Linked DNA regions of Pelodiscus sinensis. The protein of the gene in region 2 interacts with the protein of the main gene of each other region in a pairwise test. Links are inferred from orthologs where the notes say so. Each region holds a gene or a part of one and is shown on either strand. Other genes may lie near its edges.

The links. The genes of interacting proteins can lie anywhere in the genome.
Region 1: the proteins of CHAF1A (region 2) and methyl-CpG-binding domain protein 1-like interact in binary tests that used the Homo sapiens proteins (3 or more experiments, as listed by UniProt). The link is inferred for Pelodiscus sinensis from reciprocal best matches to the Homo sapiens genes CHAF1A and MBD1.

What each region holds. Positions count from the first base shown.
Region 1 is NW_027465846.1:174,618-181,636, reverse strand, and holds the start of methyl-CpG-binding domain protein 1-like, read right to left. Parts: upstream 3,066-7,019; 5' UTR 3,045-3,065; intron 2,713-3,044; exon of another isoform or gene 2,585-2,712; intron 1,631-2,584; exon of another isoform or gene 1,608-1,630; intron 1,238-1,607; exon of another isoform or gene 1,216-1,237; intron 834-1,215; exon of another isoform or gene 797-833; coding exon of another isoform or gene 723-796; intron 609-722; exon of another isoform or gene 274-608; coding exon of another isoform or gene 218-273; intron 84-217; coding exon of another isoform or gene 49-83; coding exon 1-48. Other genes in the region: CXXC1 (CXXC-type zinc finger protein 1), read right to left, coding at 4,087-4,233, 4,713-4,865, 4,970-5,066, 6,039-6,088. UniProt on the Homo sapiens protein: Transcriptional repressor that binds CpG islands in promoters where the DNA is methylated at position 5 of cytosine within CpG dinucleotides. Binding is abolished by the presence of 7-mG that is produced by DNA damage by methylmethanesulfonate (MMS).
Region 2 is NC_134729.1:22,504,947-22,511,964, reverse strand, and holds the start of CHAF1A (chromatin assembly factor 1 subunit A), read right to left. Parts: upstream 3,058-7,018; 5' UTR 2,912-3,057; coding exon 2,905-2,911; intron 2,227-2,904; coding exon 2,176-2,226; intron 1,947-2,175; coding exon 1,132-1,946; intron 1-1,131. UniProt on the Homo sapiens protein: Acts as a component of the histone chaperone complex chromatin assembly factor 1 (CAF-1), which assembles histone octamers onto DNA during replication and repair.

The DNA of each region.
Region 1 (7,019 bases), on a different chromosome or scaffold from region 2:
CTTCCATCCAGGCCCCAGGGCGGGGCAGTCCAGCCAGCCCTCCGACATGGCGCTGAGCCGGGGCAGCGGCGGCAGAGCAGCTACTGCAGGGAGAGAGACGGGGGGGCGTCAGCATGGCTGGATGCAGGAAAGGGGGGGCACGGCCGACTCAGCCCCCCGCCAGGACTTGGGCTGGCTCTGACTCCACCGCCCCCAAGCCGCGGAGAGAGCCACGCACCCTGCTCTAACCACTAGGCCCCACTCCCGCAGCTTGAGGAGACTCTCCTGGTCCATCCGTTAGTTGACGCCACCCTCCTTGGCGAGGGGCCGTATCCCAGCACGCAGGAGGCGCCGCATGCAGAAAACCCCGTCCCTCCGTACAACCCGCAGGCACGCAACAGTCCGGAGATGCAGCCGCTTCTGGGGCGGGGAAACAGGCGACCAGCCCCACATGGAGCCGAAGCGGCCTGGCTCTCCTGACGCTACAAGGCAGCCATCGCTCAGGCAGGGCAGCCAAGGCATTTGGAGGATGCGCCCAGCACGGAGATGCAGCCACCTCTTGGGTGGGGCAGCCAGGAACAGCCACACATAACGCCTCCCCAGGGCCACCAGGAGGGCTCTGGCTTTGGGCTCCCGGCGCCCACCAAGGCGGAGGCAGCAGCCCAGATGGAAGGCATGTGTCCTTCCTCCCTCCCTGCTCAGGGAGTGGCTGGGAGCCAGCGCCCACGGGGAGCCTGACTCACACTGCTCGGGCTGGGAGCACGGCTCCTTCCGCAGGCCCCGCGGCCCCGCTCCCTGGCGGAGGGGCCCTCGGCATGAGCGTCCCCAGCCAGGCCGGATCCGGCCAGTCCCGGGACCCTGGAGGGGAGGAGGAGATAAGGACCCACACGGCCGCTCGGCTTGCACGGCTGCAAGGTCAGTGCGAGGCCCAGCCGGACGCTCGCGCTCCAGCGCCTGGCCCCGTTCCAGCGGGAGTCGCTCCAGCCCGGCGCTGCCCCCTCGGATAAGGGAGCGCGCCCAACGGCAACGCTCCAGCAGGGCACTCCCAGCGGCGCCGTGCGTGACCGGTCCCTGGCTGCTTCTCCCCAGAGCAGGCTGCATCTCAGGGCCGAGCGAGCTCTCCCCGAGCTGCGTTACGTGCAGCTGTTTCCCCAGCGGCCTCACCCCAGACCTAGCTGCACCCCTGCGCCAGACTAGCCTGCCACCCGCGGCGCTTTCCCGCCCTGCGCTCCAAACCTGGCCGCCCCTCGGCGCCTGCTATTCCCCAGCGGGCCTGTCCCAGAGGCAGCCAGCGCCGGGGACCGTGCGGCTCTTCCTCTGTGCCAGGCAAGCCCGCAGGGCCACGCAATTGCCTCCCGCCGGGAAGGCAGCCAATTCCTCACGGCCGTTTAACGCCATTTCAGAGGATGGCGCTGGCCTGGAGACACCAGGCCGGCCTACACGTTTCAACCCCCTTGTTTTCCCTTTTCGTGCGGGGTGGGGGGGGGGGGAGGGAATGACGACTTCCCCCCCCCCCCCCTCAGCCCACACCACGTGAGACCTGAGCAACTGGCAAACTGGCAGCTCCAGCCCGAGCTGCGACAGCCTCTCCCTGCCGAGAAAACGCACCGAGCGTGTCGGGCACAAACCTCAGCCCCACGTCACGAGCCGAGTCGCAGACGCAAGCCACCCAGCTCCGGCTGGGGCCACCTGCCAGAGGCGGGCTCCTCCGAGCCCAGCTCGGGCCCCGGGAGCTGACAGGGGCCCTCGGGCGCCCGGGGGAGGGGCCAACAGGAACCGCACAGACGGCCCCGCGGCAGCCGAGAAGCCAGGGCGCCTCCCCGCCCCCCGATCGCAGCCAGGCCACACGCAGGCCTGTTGGGCCACTGGCCAACCCCCCAGAGAAGGCCTGAGCCGTGCACCTGGTGCCACCATAGCGCAGCGCCTGTCCAGGTAGAGCCAGGCCGGCCAGCTGTGGGGGGGCCCAGCGGGCGAGGGGCACCCCCCGAGCGCTAGCAGGTCGCAGGGGCCCTGCGGGGCTGCGCCGATTGGCAGAGGCGCCGTAGGACGCGCGGCTGCCGCACTGGGCCCAGCTGTGCCACGTTCCCGGGCTGGGGGGGCCCCAAAACGCCCCCGGGGGGCTCTAGGGAGCCGCGGGTCCATTCGGCCCCAAGCGGGGGCAGCGCCGCCAGGCACCGGCCAGCACCGGCCGACTGCGCCGGGAGGGGCCTGGCAGCACCGCCCCCCCCCAGCCCCCCCAGGCAGCACAGAGCAGGAGGGACATAAACAAGGCAGACACGGCGGGGGGGGGCAATGGGGGGCAGCGAGACCGGGGGGGCAGAACATGGGGGGCAACGGGGGGGCAGCGGGACTGGGGGGGCAGGTGGACAACGGGGAGGGGGGGCAGTGTGATGGGGGGGCAGTGTGATGGGGGGGCAGCGGGAGCGGGGGGGGCAGTGTGATGGGGGGGCGGGGGGGTTCAGCGGGGCCGGAGCCCCAACGCCCGTTCCCAGCCCCCCCCAGGCCCGGGGTCTCCTGCCTAAGGGCCCCCCCCGCGCGGCCCAGCCCCCGCCCCCCGAGTGCGCCCCCCGGCCCCGCCCCCTCCCGCGGCCCCGCCCCCCCTCACCGCTGGGCGGCTCCCGGGCCCCCCCCGCGCCGGCGGCTCCATCCCGCGGGCCCCGCTCGTGGCGCAGCAGCGGCCGCAGCCCGGGCGGCGCGCGGGGCTCGAACCGGAACCGGAAAGCGGGGGGGGGGGGGGGGGGGGGGGGGAGCGGTCACGTGCCTGGGGGCGGGGCCTATAAGAAGGCTGGGGGGGCAAAGGAGGGGGCAGCCGCGGGGGGGTTGGGGGGCGGGACTTGGGGGCAGCCGGGGGGGCGGGGAGGGAGTTGGGGGCGGGGGGGCGGGGAGGATGGGGGGTAGCGGGGGGGCTGTGGGGGAGGGCTGTGGGGTAGCGGGGGGGCGGGGAGAGGACCGGGGGGGCTGTGGGGGGGCGGGGGGGCTGTTGGGGGCGAGGGGCCGGGGGGGGCTCACGTGGAAGCGGCGCGCGGGGCAGAGACCCGGGTCCCCCCCGACCCGCCGCTTCCCACCTGCTCCACGCTGCGGCCCACGCGGGGTCAGCTGAGGGGGGCGGGCTGATATGGCCTAGGCCCCGCCCAGAGGGCGGGTCTATGCAAATATGACCGGGGGGGGGGTAATCTCAGGCCCGTAACCCGCTATGGGAACGGGTGTTACCCCGCGGAACAACCCGCTGCAGGGTCCGCTGGATAAATAGCCCGGCCAGAGCGTTAACCTTTGGGACTCCCCGCCGCAGGGTCTGGTGGAGCAGGGGAATAGGGCAGGCAAGGTGGCATGCTGCAGGTTAACCTCCCTGTCCCAAGGTAGGGGAGGGGGGAATAGCTCAGGCCAGCTCTCCACTCTGAACTCACTCCCCCAGAGGCACAGATCTCAGGAAAAGGATGCTTCTGTTTGAAACTTGGTTTTTATTAGGCCCGTCTCATTCATTCCCCCCCCCCCCCACTTCTCCCTGCCCACACCCCAGCAGAACTCGTATCTCTGTATCTTGGGATACAGCCCCATGCCTGGAGGAACACCCATGGGTGCCAGAGCCGTGGAAAAGGACAAGCCGGAAACAGGAGGGATGGAGTGGGCAGGCAAGGGCCGGCGGGGGAGATGATGGGCCTGGGGTTGGGGGCAGGGCAGGAGGGGAAGTAGAAGCCCCACCCAGAGATGGGGGAGAAGCGAGTGGGGGCCAGCGCAGGATCATACTCAGAGCTCTGCTACATTTTCCTTCCTTTTGTTTTTTTTTGTTTTGTTTGTTTTTTAAAGAAAAAATAAAAGTTTAAAAAAAACATTAAAAAAAGAATGAGGGTCCAGAAAAATCCACCACGTCTGGCGTCGGCCCTGCAGGAGAGAGAGGACAGTTAGGGGAGCGTGGCAGCCCAGCACCCCTCCCCCCAGGAAGCCAGTTCCTGCGGCCCCATGGGAGACTGTGCCCCCTAGACGGCAGAAGCCCTTCCCCCGCCCTGGAGCCACAGGAGAGCTGGCCCCCCACGAGGAAAGGCCCCGAGCCCCATTCTCTGCCCTAGGCCCCATGGGAGCCAGTACCCCTGCCCCAGCCACGCACCTGGCTCAGCGGTCAGTGGTGGTGCGCAGGTCTGTGGTCAGCGGGTCGTGCTGGATGGTCTGATGGAGCATCAGCGCTAGCAGTCCGGCCCGGTTGGTCATGGCCATGCGCACGTTGCGCTCTTGCTCAAACAGCTCGTCCAGCTTGTACCACTGCCAACAGCAGGGGGAGCTGTTACACGCGGCGGCCCCTGGGGCATGGCAGCTGGGGAACGACCGCACGTAACGCCACAAGGGGATGGCTCACCGGACCCTACGATGCAGCCAGCTCTGGGGCGGGGCCGCTGGAGAACAGCCACATATAACGCCACAATGGCTCACCGGACCCGAAGATGCAGCCAGCTCTGGGGCGGGGCCGCTGGAGAACAGCCACATATAACGCCACAATGGCTCACCGGACCCTAAGACGCAGCCAGCTCTGGGGCGGGGCCGCTGGAGAACAGCCACACAGTGACAACCAACTGCATCAGGAAGGGGGAGGGGAAGGATGTGGGGCAGGGGGGAATTTCTAAGATCAGAAGGAATCACAGATGGCGGGGGAGGGGAGACACCTAGATTTTGACACACCCCCCCGCGTGCACGGCCCTGCCTGCCAGGGAGAGCGCCCCCTGCGGGCCAGCCCCGCTCCGTACCACGCGCACTCTCTCCAGGTCCACCTCGGCCCGGCGCAGTTTCTCCCAGCAGTAGTGGCGGTTGCATTTCCGCTTGGGAACGCGGCAGACCTCGCCCGTGAGCTCGAAGACGTCCTTCACCAGGGGGCAGCCGCACACCTCGTCCACCGACACCTGGGGAGAGCACCGGAGGGAGGGAGGGGGGGGAGTCAGGCTCATGTTGCCCCTGGCGGCCAGCCCCCCACCCTGCCCCCCCACTGGCAGCCCGTGCCCCTCACCTTGGGGTCGCGGGAGTGCTCGGGGCATAGCACCTGCAGCCGTTTGCAGTAGGTCTTGCTCTGAGGGTTGTAGACGTCACAGAAGAGGCGGGTGGCCCTGTGGGGGGGGGGGGTGGAGGAGAGGGAAACACAATGCCTGGTTGAGAGGCTGCAACCAGCTGCCTGGAGGGGAGGCGGGAAATCCATGGCTGTAGGAAGATCTAGGCAGCATCGCCACATTGTTTAGGAGGGAAACTGAGGCACGTGTGTTCAATGCTGCTTGCCAGAGCCAGGGAGAGAACCCAGGAGTCCTGGCTCCGAAGCCCCCCTGCTCTAACCCCTAGGCCCCAATCCCCTCCCAGAGCCAGGGAGAGAGCCCAGGAGTCCTGGCTCCAAAGCCCCCCTGCTCTAACCCTTAGGCCCCAATCCCCTCCCAGAGCCAGGGAGAGAGCCCAGGAGTCCTGGCTCCAAAGCCCCCCTGCTCTAACCCTTAGGCCCCACTCCTCTCCCGTGTGGGGCTGTTCTCGGCCTGGTGCGCAGCATCTCTTCACCGCCTGGCGGTGGGTCCGGGCCGCACGCTGAGGCACTCTAGCGACGTCGCAAAGCGAGGGTCAGGCTGGCAATGCTTTGGGGGACAGAGCTGAATTCAGAGGGGTCGCGTCAGAGCAGCAGGACAACAGAAACGAGGCCTCGGGAGGTCCTGGAAGCGCCTTCGCTGGGGGGTTTTGAGCCGAGGCAGGAGCCATTGGACAACAAATCCGGCCTGTGGCTGGGGCCGGCCTAGGGGACTCGCACGGTCCCCGCGAACGCGACGGGTATAGGAGTCCGCACGGGCGAGGAAGCAGAGACAGCGGGCGACAGCCAGCAGGGAATCGCAGCGGGGTGGGACCCAAGAGCACTGCAACGGTGGAGGGGAGAGGGCGGCAGGGCGGCGGGGGGAATCAGCGGGGGAACCATATGGTGAGGGACCCAAGGGCTCAGGTTGCTGGGGGAAGATTTGGAGGATGGACAGAGTCAGCCCAGACGGTCCCAGGGGGGATGGATTTGGAGTGAGCGCCCTGTCCCTCCTCTCCCCACCCCCGGGACTCACCCCTCTATGCGGGTTGGGTACATGGATCCGAAGGACGTCTGGCTCTCATACTGTGGGGAAAAGGAAGAACATAGGGCTCATCAGTGCACCGGGAGGGAGATGGGGCAATGCCGCACAAGGGAAGACTCGTTCAGCCGGGCGATGCAGCCAGCTCTGGGGCGGGGTAGCTGTAGAACAGCCGCATGGAACGCGGCACAGGGAAGACTCGTTCAGCCGGGCAATGCAGCCAGCTCTGGGGCGGGGTAGCTGTAGAACAGCCGCATGGAACGCGGCACGGGGATGACTCATTCAGCCGGGCGATGCAGCCAGCTCTGGGGCGGGGTAGCTGTAGAACAGCCGCATGGAACGTGGCATGGGGAAGACTCGTTCAGCCGGGCGATGCAGCCAGCTCTGGGGCGGGGTAGCTGTAGAACAGCCGCGTGGAACGTGGCATGGGGAAGACTCGTTCAGCCGGGCGATGCAGCCAGCTCTGGGGCGGGGTAGCTGTAGAACAGCCGCATGGAACACGGCACGGGGAAGACTCGTTCAGCCGGGTGATGCAGCGAGCTCTGGGGCGGGGCAGCTGTGGAACAGCCGCATGGAACGTGGCACGGGGAAGACTCGTTCAGCCGGGCGATGCAGCCAGCTCTGGGGCGGGGTAGCTGAAGAACAGCCGCATGGAACGCGGCACGGGGAAGACTCGTTCAGCCGGGCGATGCAGCCAGCTCTGGGGCGGGGTAGCTGAAGAACAGCCGCATGGAACGTGGCATGGGGAAGACTCGTTCAGCCGGGCGATGCAGCCAGCTCTGGGGCGGGGTAGCTGGAGAACAGCCGCGTGGAACGTGGCATGGGGAAGACTCGTTCAGCCGGGCGATGCAGCCAGCTCTGGGGCGGGGTAGCTGGAGAACAGCCGCATGGAACGCGGCACGGGGAAGACTCGTTCAGCCGGGCGATGCAGCCAGCTCTGGGGCGGGGTAGCTGTAGAACAGCCGCATGGAAAAC
Region 2 (7,018 bases):
ACCAGCTTTAACAGATGGAGAAAAATAGTCTGAGTTGCCCTTTTCCCACATACATAGCGCAGGGGTTTGCAGTTATATTGTTCAGTTTGAGCATTTTCTATCCTTCAAACAATTTTACATAAATATTCTAAAAGCAGTATTTTGCACCCATGAGCAGCTTCTTCCATAACCTAAAATTCAATCCTGTATATGTAGGAGTACTTGCACTTCTGACCACTTCAAAAAGGTAAAGATTTTAAAATCTCCCAAAAAGACAATTCTCTTTGGACACTGCTATTTATTCACATATTATACCCAGTCCAAGGGTATAATGTTACATGTTAGTCTTGTAACTTTAAAAAACAAGTAGTCCTGTGGCACCTTAGACTAAAAAATATTTATAGTATCAGGAGCTTGGGTTTTGCTATGAAAGCTCATGATACTATTTATCTATCTTATATATTTATTTTAATCTTTAAGGTGCCACAGGACTACTCATCATATTATACCCAGGTGTAAAGTCAGAGGGTGTGTTTCATGACCAAGTCGTAAAATACCTGTGATAACATTAAAATATATAGCTTAAGATGCACGGATATATCAACTTACAATACTTTTCAGAATTTCTTTTTGTGACTTTTAACCTGAAATGGCAGAACAAAGTGATTAAAAAAATCCTAGGATAGTATGATCTCCCACCACAAAAACTAACCATTAGGGATGTGAATGTGTAGTCATTAACCAAGCAGTCTGGGCTCACTGGTTAATCCTAATGGTTACACACCGGTTCTTCCCTCACTGCCTCTGTATTAGAGATGGCGGGGAAGGAGAGCGCAGGTGCTCTGTGAAAGTTGGTGTGTGTGGGGAGCCGGCTCTTAAGTCAGCTCCCCGCATACACCAGCTCCCACAGAGCCACCTGTCCCTCCCACAGAGCATGGTGGGGTGGGGGAAGAAGAGCAGGCAGGAGCTGGTGATCATGGGGAGCCAGCTTTTAAGCTGGCTCCCCATGAGCACCAGCTCCTGCCTGTTCCCCCTCCCTCATGTAAACATGTAACCACTATAAAATTCAGCAGTTACACATTTAAAAAAATAAATGCATTTTTACATCCCTACTAGCTAGAGAAATGAAACAAATATTTTTAAAAAACCAACCTTCTGGACAGGTATTGAAGCAGCTAATGGACTAATATCACTCCTGTTCCCTGGGGCAGGCTGTGTCTCAGGTGAGCTGATAGAAGAGGGGGAGCTTAATGAGGAATTAGTAAGTATAGAGTCTCCTTCAGGAGAAGATTCCATTGTCTCATTTTCTGAGTTCATACTTTCTTCCAAAGACACAGCCTGGGGAGACCTTGCAATCATAATATCCTCCAGAACTACTACAGGCATTTTCCCCTCAAATATAACACTCTTGAGTTCACTCTGATTGGCCCTCTTATTCTCCATATTATTACACTGCATATTTGATAATTCAGAACAGGGTTTGGTTGTATCTATTGAATCTTCATCCTTATCTGCAGTAGCTTCATAGGGCGGACAGGTATCCATTGGAACATCCACTTGGGCATTCTGAATGGGCTTAAATGGACTTGTATCTTCTTTCGTACCATTAGTTGTCTCTATAGATGAAAATGCTTCTGGATTTAATTTACTGTGGTCTAGGCCATCAGTGTCGTTAGAGTCCTGTGTCAAGTCAAATATGAGTACAGTTTCTCTCACGTTATTTTTTATGTTTTTCTGTAAAAAGTTATCTAACGGACCCTTTCCATTAACAAGTTTGGAAGTGAACTGCATTTCAGAATCCAACTGACAATCATTCTCCATATTGTCCAAAGACGCATGTGATGTATCAAGAGTGGAATCTTTATTTTGACCAAGAACATCTTGCGAGCTCTTTGCTTTCTTAACTTCCATGCCTGCGTCACACTTCTCCTTTGGTACAAGATTCAAACGCTTGAAAGGTAACCGTGCTGAAATAGTAAGATTTTGTTACTTTAGTAAAGTCATATAAATCAGCAGAGGGAAAACTACAAATAGAGGGAGTCGATGGGTTTTTAAAAGTACAAGCAATCCTTCAACTCATAACAGGTTACGTTACTACATATACCGAACACAATTGGCTGGTTTAGCAAGTCTATGCAACACTCGATGTATAATATTTTAGAAAACACGTTGTGTCAGGAACTTCCTGAAAGTTACCTTGTACGAGTTTCCTCATGGGAATAACTGGTTTGTCTCTGCACTCCATGGCTGTAAGCAGAAAAACGCCAACATTGATGTTTAGCTCACATTTCTTCCCCATTCAGGAAACATTAAACTGACATCACACCACTGCCACCCGCCGCATCACTAGCGATCAGACCATCCCTCTCAAAAATGGAGAAGGGCAACCAGACCAGGAGGAGGAGGGTGAATGATTGAGGCGCACAGGTTTTACCAGCACCAGGCCTGCTGTGCAGGGAAATTCAGCTCCCTCCCCCGATGGGGGGAACCGCCAGAAGGAGGGTGCCGGGGGCCTGTGACAAAGGCGCAAAGGGGGAGACTAGGCGTGACCAGGGCCATCGCCCCTCAGAGGGCAGCCCCCCCCCCGCCATTTGCATTCACCACCCCCTGGTGTCCCCACGACCCATGGGGGGGGGTTACAAACCCCCTCGGGTCGCGCCCCCTCATGCACCCCGGGGCGCTCTGCAGGGGGGGCCTCGCCCCAGGCCCCCGAGACAGGAGCAGAGCCCCGGGCCCCTGCCGGGCCGAGGTCCCCCCGCCCGCGGAGTTGGTACCGTCCCCGGGGGAAGCCGGGTTCCACCTCCCTGGGGCGCTGTGAGGAGCAGCCCCCCGGCGGCGGGGACGGAAACCCCGGGGGCGTCGCCTGCCCCCTCAGCCCCGCGCCCCTCCCCCTTCCTCGCTCGCAGCCCTGGGCCCGGTCCGTACCTGCCATGTCCCGGCCCCGGAGCGCAGCCCTGACTCCTCCCCCCGCCGGCCGCGCGGACCGGGGCGCGCCAGCTTCTCCCGCTCGTATTTGGCGGGAGCCTCGGCGGCTCCACGCTTCGCCACGCTGATAGGCCCAGAGAGCCCCACGTGACCGCGGCCCCGCCAACCCTCGCGAGAACTCCTCCCCCCCCTCTCCTGCCGGCTCCAGGAAGGGGGCGGGGGGGAGGGTGAGACTGGACTGCCTCCTATTGGCTGAGGGAGATTGCATGTCATTGGGGCAAACAGCTGCCACCATGCTAGGTCAGGGCAACGATTGGCTGGAGGAGCAGCCAGGCTGGGCTAGGTCTGTGGGTTGCACAGGTGAGGGTCTGGTGCTGTACAGGTAGGGGTGGAAGATGCTCTCTTCTGCTCCCTGGTGCTATGGGCCCTGCGCCCCCTGAGTGTGACCCCCCCAGGGCAATGACTCTGAGGATGCAAAAACAATGAGGAGTCCTGTGACATCTTCAAGACTAACAAATTTATTAGGGCATAAAACGACCTAAGTAAAAAGCACTTTGTCAGATGCATTGGGGCTATTTCTACCCGCAAAAGTTTATGCCCAAATAATTCTGTTCATTTTGAAGGTGTCACAGGACTCCTTGTTGTTTTTGCAGATACAGACTAACAGGCTCCTGCTCTGAGACTTGTCTGTGTGTGCAATCTTCCCTGCTGCTGCTTCCCTTGATTATGCTAGGGGACTTTTTCCTGCAGTGTTCAACTATCCCCACAGTGACAGAGTACATGTCACCTTGGGACTGGATGCAGAGGTAACATTTCTTGACACCTTAAATGACTGATTCTTGGAGCAGCTGGTTTTGGAATCCACAAAAGGAGATGGAATTCTTGATTTAGTCCTAAATGAAGGGAAGGATCTGGCCTATGAGGTGAATATAGCTTGAACTTTTGGAAATAGTGATCACAATATAATTAAAATTAATATTCTTGTGAGGGGAAAAAAACCTGCAGCAGCCCAATATTATGGCATTTAATTTTAGAAAGGGAAACTGAATAAAAATGATGTTAGTTAATCATAAATTAAAAGGTACAGTGCCAAAAGTAAAATCTCTGCAAGCTGCATGGAAACTTTTCAAAGACACCATAATAGAGGCTCAACTTAAATGTATATACCACATTTTAAAAATGTAGTAAGAGAATAAAAAAAAGTTTCACCATGGATTAACAATCAAGTAATAGAAGCAGTGAGAGATTAAAAAAAAGCATTGTTTAAAAAGTGGAAATTAAATCCTAGTGAGGAAAATAGAAAGGAGCATAAACTTTGTCAAAGGAAGTGTAACAATATAATTAGGAAGGCCAAAAACAATTTGACAAATAGCTAGCCAAAAAAACTAAAAAAGTAATAGCATTTTTCGTTTTAAATACATCAGAAGCAGTAAGCCTGCTAAACAACCTGTGGGTCCACTGGATGATTGAGATGCTAAAGGAGCGCTCAGGGACAATAAGGTCATTGCAGAGAAACTAAATGAATTCTTTGCATCAATCTTCATGGCTGACAATGTGAAGCAGATTCCCAAATTTGAGCCATTCTTTTTAGGTGACAAATCTGAGGTACTGCCCCAGATTGAGGTGTCATTAGAGGAGGTTTTAGAACAAATAGATAAACTAAACAGATGGCATTCACCCACAGCAGATGGTATTCATCCAAGAGTTCTAAAAAGAACTCAAATGTGAAATTGTGAAATTAATAACTCTGATTTGTAACCTATCCTTTAAATAATCTTCTGTACCAAATGACTGGAGTGGAACGTTACTGGATAACACTCCTTGCCAGTATAGTATCACCGGGCCAGTGGAGATCACAAGGGGATCTGGTTTTCTACTGGCACAAACCCCCAAAATCTTGCAGCACCAACCCCAAGTTCCTGGGCAGTTATGTAGAGGAGCTCTGCACTGTGAGTGAGTACACATGTACACAAATTATGTAGTATGGTGAACGCAGACTGGACTGTCTGGTGTGTGTAATTGTAGGTGTGTGAATATGAAATTACCTGGAATGAATTTTGCTGGTGTGTTTGGTCTTGTTTACATCAAGCTAATTATTTAATTCTAAGTGTTACTAAATAGTCATATACTCCTTTATCCAGAAGTTTATCTTCTGTTTATTGCTCATAGGAAAGAAGAATTGATTTTTCAGGTCAGTTTTGCCAATGCAGGCTTCTCTGTCCTATAGGCCTCATATTATTGAAAAGGCCACAAAGAACAGAAGTCAAACACGAACAATCAAGGCATCTGCTCACACTTTAATGAGCATTTGCTTAAGAAATCATACGTGGAGTTTAGCCAAAGTTCTAGCATAACGCAGATGCAGCCAGAATCACCGAGAAAAGTGAATACAAGACAACATAAAGAACTCAGAAAACCTTAGAGGTTATTTGGCACTCCTTCGAGTTTAGGAAGGCTTTTCGGGAGCAAAGCAGGTGACTTAAATTGTCAGATAAGCACAGCTTGTGATCCAAATGCAGACGATCCTTTAGTATCGAGTAAGCAGCAATGTATGCTGGGAAATGGGATTTCTGAACCAGTACAGGGAGAATCCTGAAAACTGCAATGAGAGAGTCAAGTAGGAAGAATGCTTCTTGAAGGCACCACCAGTAACTCCCAGTTGAGGTTCCATTTAGATTTAGATTTGCGGCGGTAATATCTGGCTCTGGCACTAAAAGAGCTTTTGTCTCAGTGTCTGAATAGCTACAGTCATGGGTAGAAACAGACCTTTTAGGACATTCACTCTGAAAAATTATTAGTTTAAAAAAATAAATATTGGAAAATTGGCTATTTTTTATATTATAGGCAGGGCTGTTTCACAGGCAAGCCTATTATCCCATTTGTCACCGGGGTCTTAACAAAGACTCTAGTTATCTTACCCATTACAAAGATAGCTTCCGCAATTATCACCTCTAATATCATTAGCTCACAGACATTTACCTTCCTCCTCCACCGCATCCTGCTTCTGTTCTGAAATTTGATTTGTCCTTTTCATATGTGTTCTTTTTTTTTAAATTGTATCCTTTGGTATATATGATTGTGACTATTTTCTTCCACTATTTGATCTGAGGAAGTGGGTCTGGCCCACGAAAGCTCATCATCTAATAAACCATCTGGTTAGTCTTTAAAGTGCTACAGTGTCCTGTATTTTGTTCCCATTATAAGACCCTGTTTGGCTGATAAGTTTACTAAACTTTAAACTTTAAGCACTTGGACTGACGTGTTTTGATTTGGGTGTCATCATTTTATTTATTTATGTACTTATGTATTTATTTCCTAAATTTCTGTCAAGACTGTTAGTCTGGCAAAGTTACAAAGTGACCTGAATTTTTCCACTTAAAGCAGGAATCCAATTGGAACTGTGGCTTGAATCCAGGAATCCACATTATGGCATAAACTACTTATAACCTCTGATTTCACCCAGCATGTCAGGGTGCTGGCGACAGAGTCTTTCCCCATTGTAGAGGGGTCTCAGCCCCCATGCAATGGAGGTGGGAGAAAAATCAATAGGCATAGGAGTGAAGCTGGGTGGCATTGTCCCTTCTTGCTCACGGCAGGTGGCTTCACGTGTGGCAAACCTAAGGGGAGCTACTCATGTTTATTGCTCTGCTATTGGGGTAAAGGCATTAACGCGAACAGGATCATCTCTGGAGTAAAAGCTGTCTGGCAAATCCGTGTGTTGCTCAGACTTGGGCCCACCAGAGGGCCTCCCAGGCCTTGCAGTGCAACATTACAGATTGGCTCCATTCACATCAGGCATCCAGAAGCCCCCCAGACCTGTGAGGAGGCATAATTCCAAGTCCAGAAACTTGTGGAGCAAGAACATGACAGAGGAGACTCATGGAATGAAGCCTGGCAGTGCCGGTGGAGGCAGGAATTTTGTATTAGTTTTGTAACATTTGGGAGTGGATGGTGCCTGACTATCTGGAAGGCTCCACCTCCGGCAACTTGGTGGTCTCCCTGTCCATTGCCCCATGCCTATGACTCTAGATATGGTCCGTCTGTCTGGCTGTCCACATGCCTCTCAATTTCTGCTCTGTCTGTCCCTCTGTCTTACAGTCTGGCCTGTCTAGTC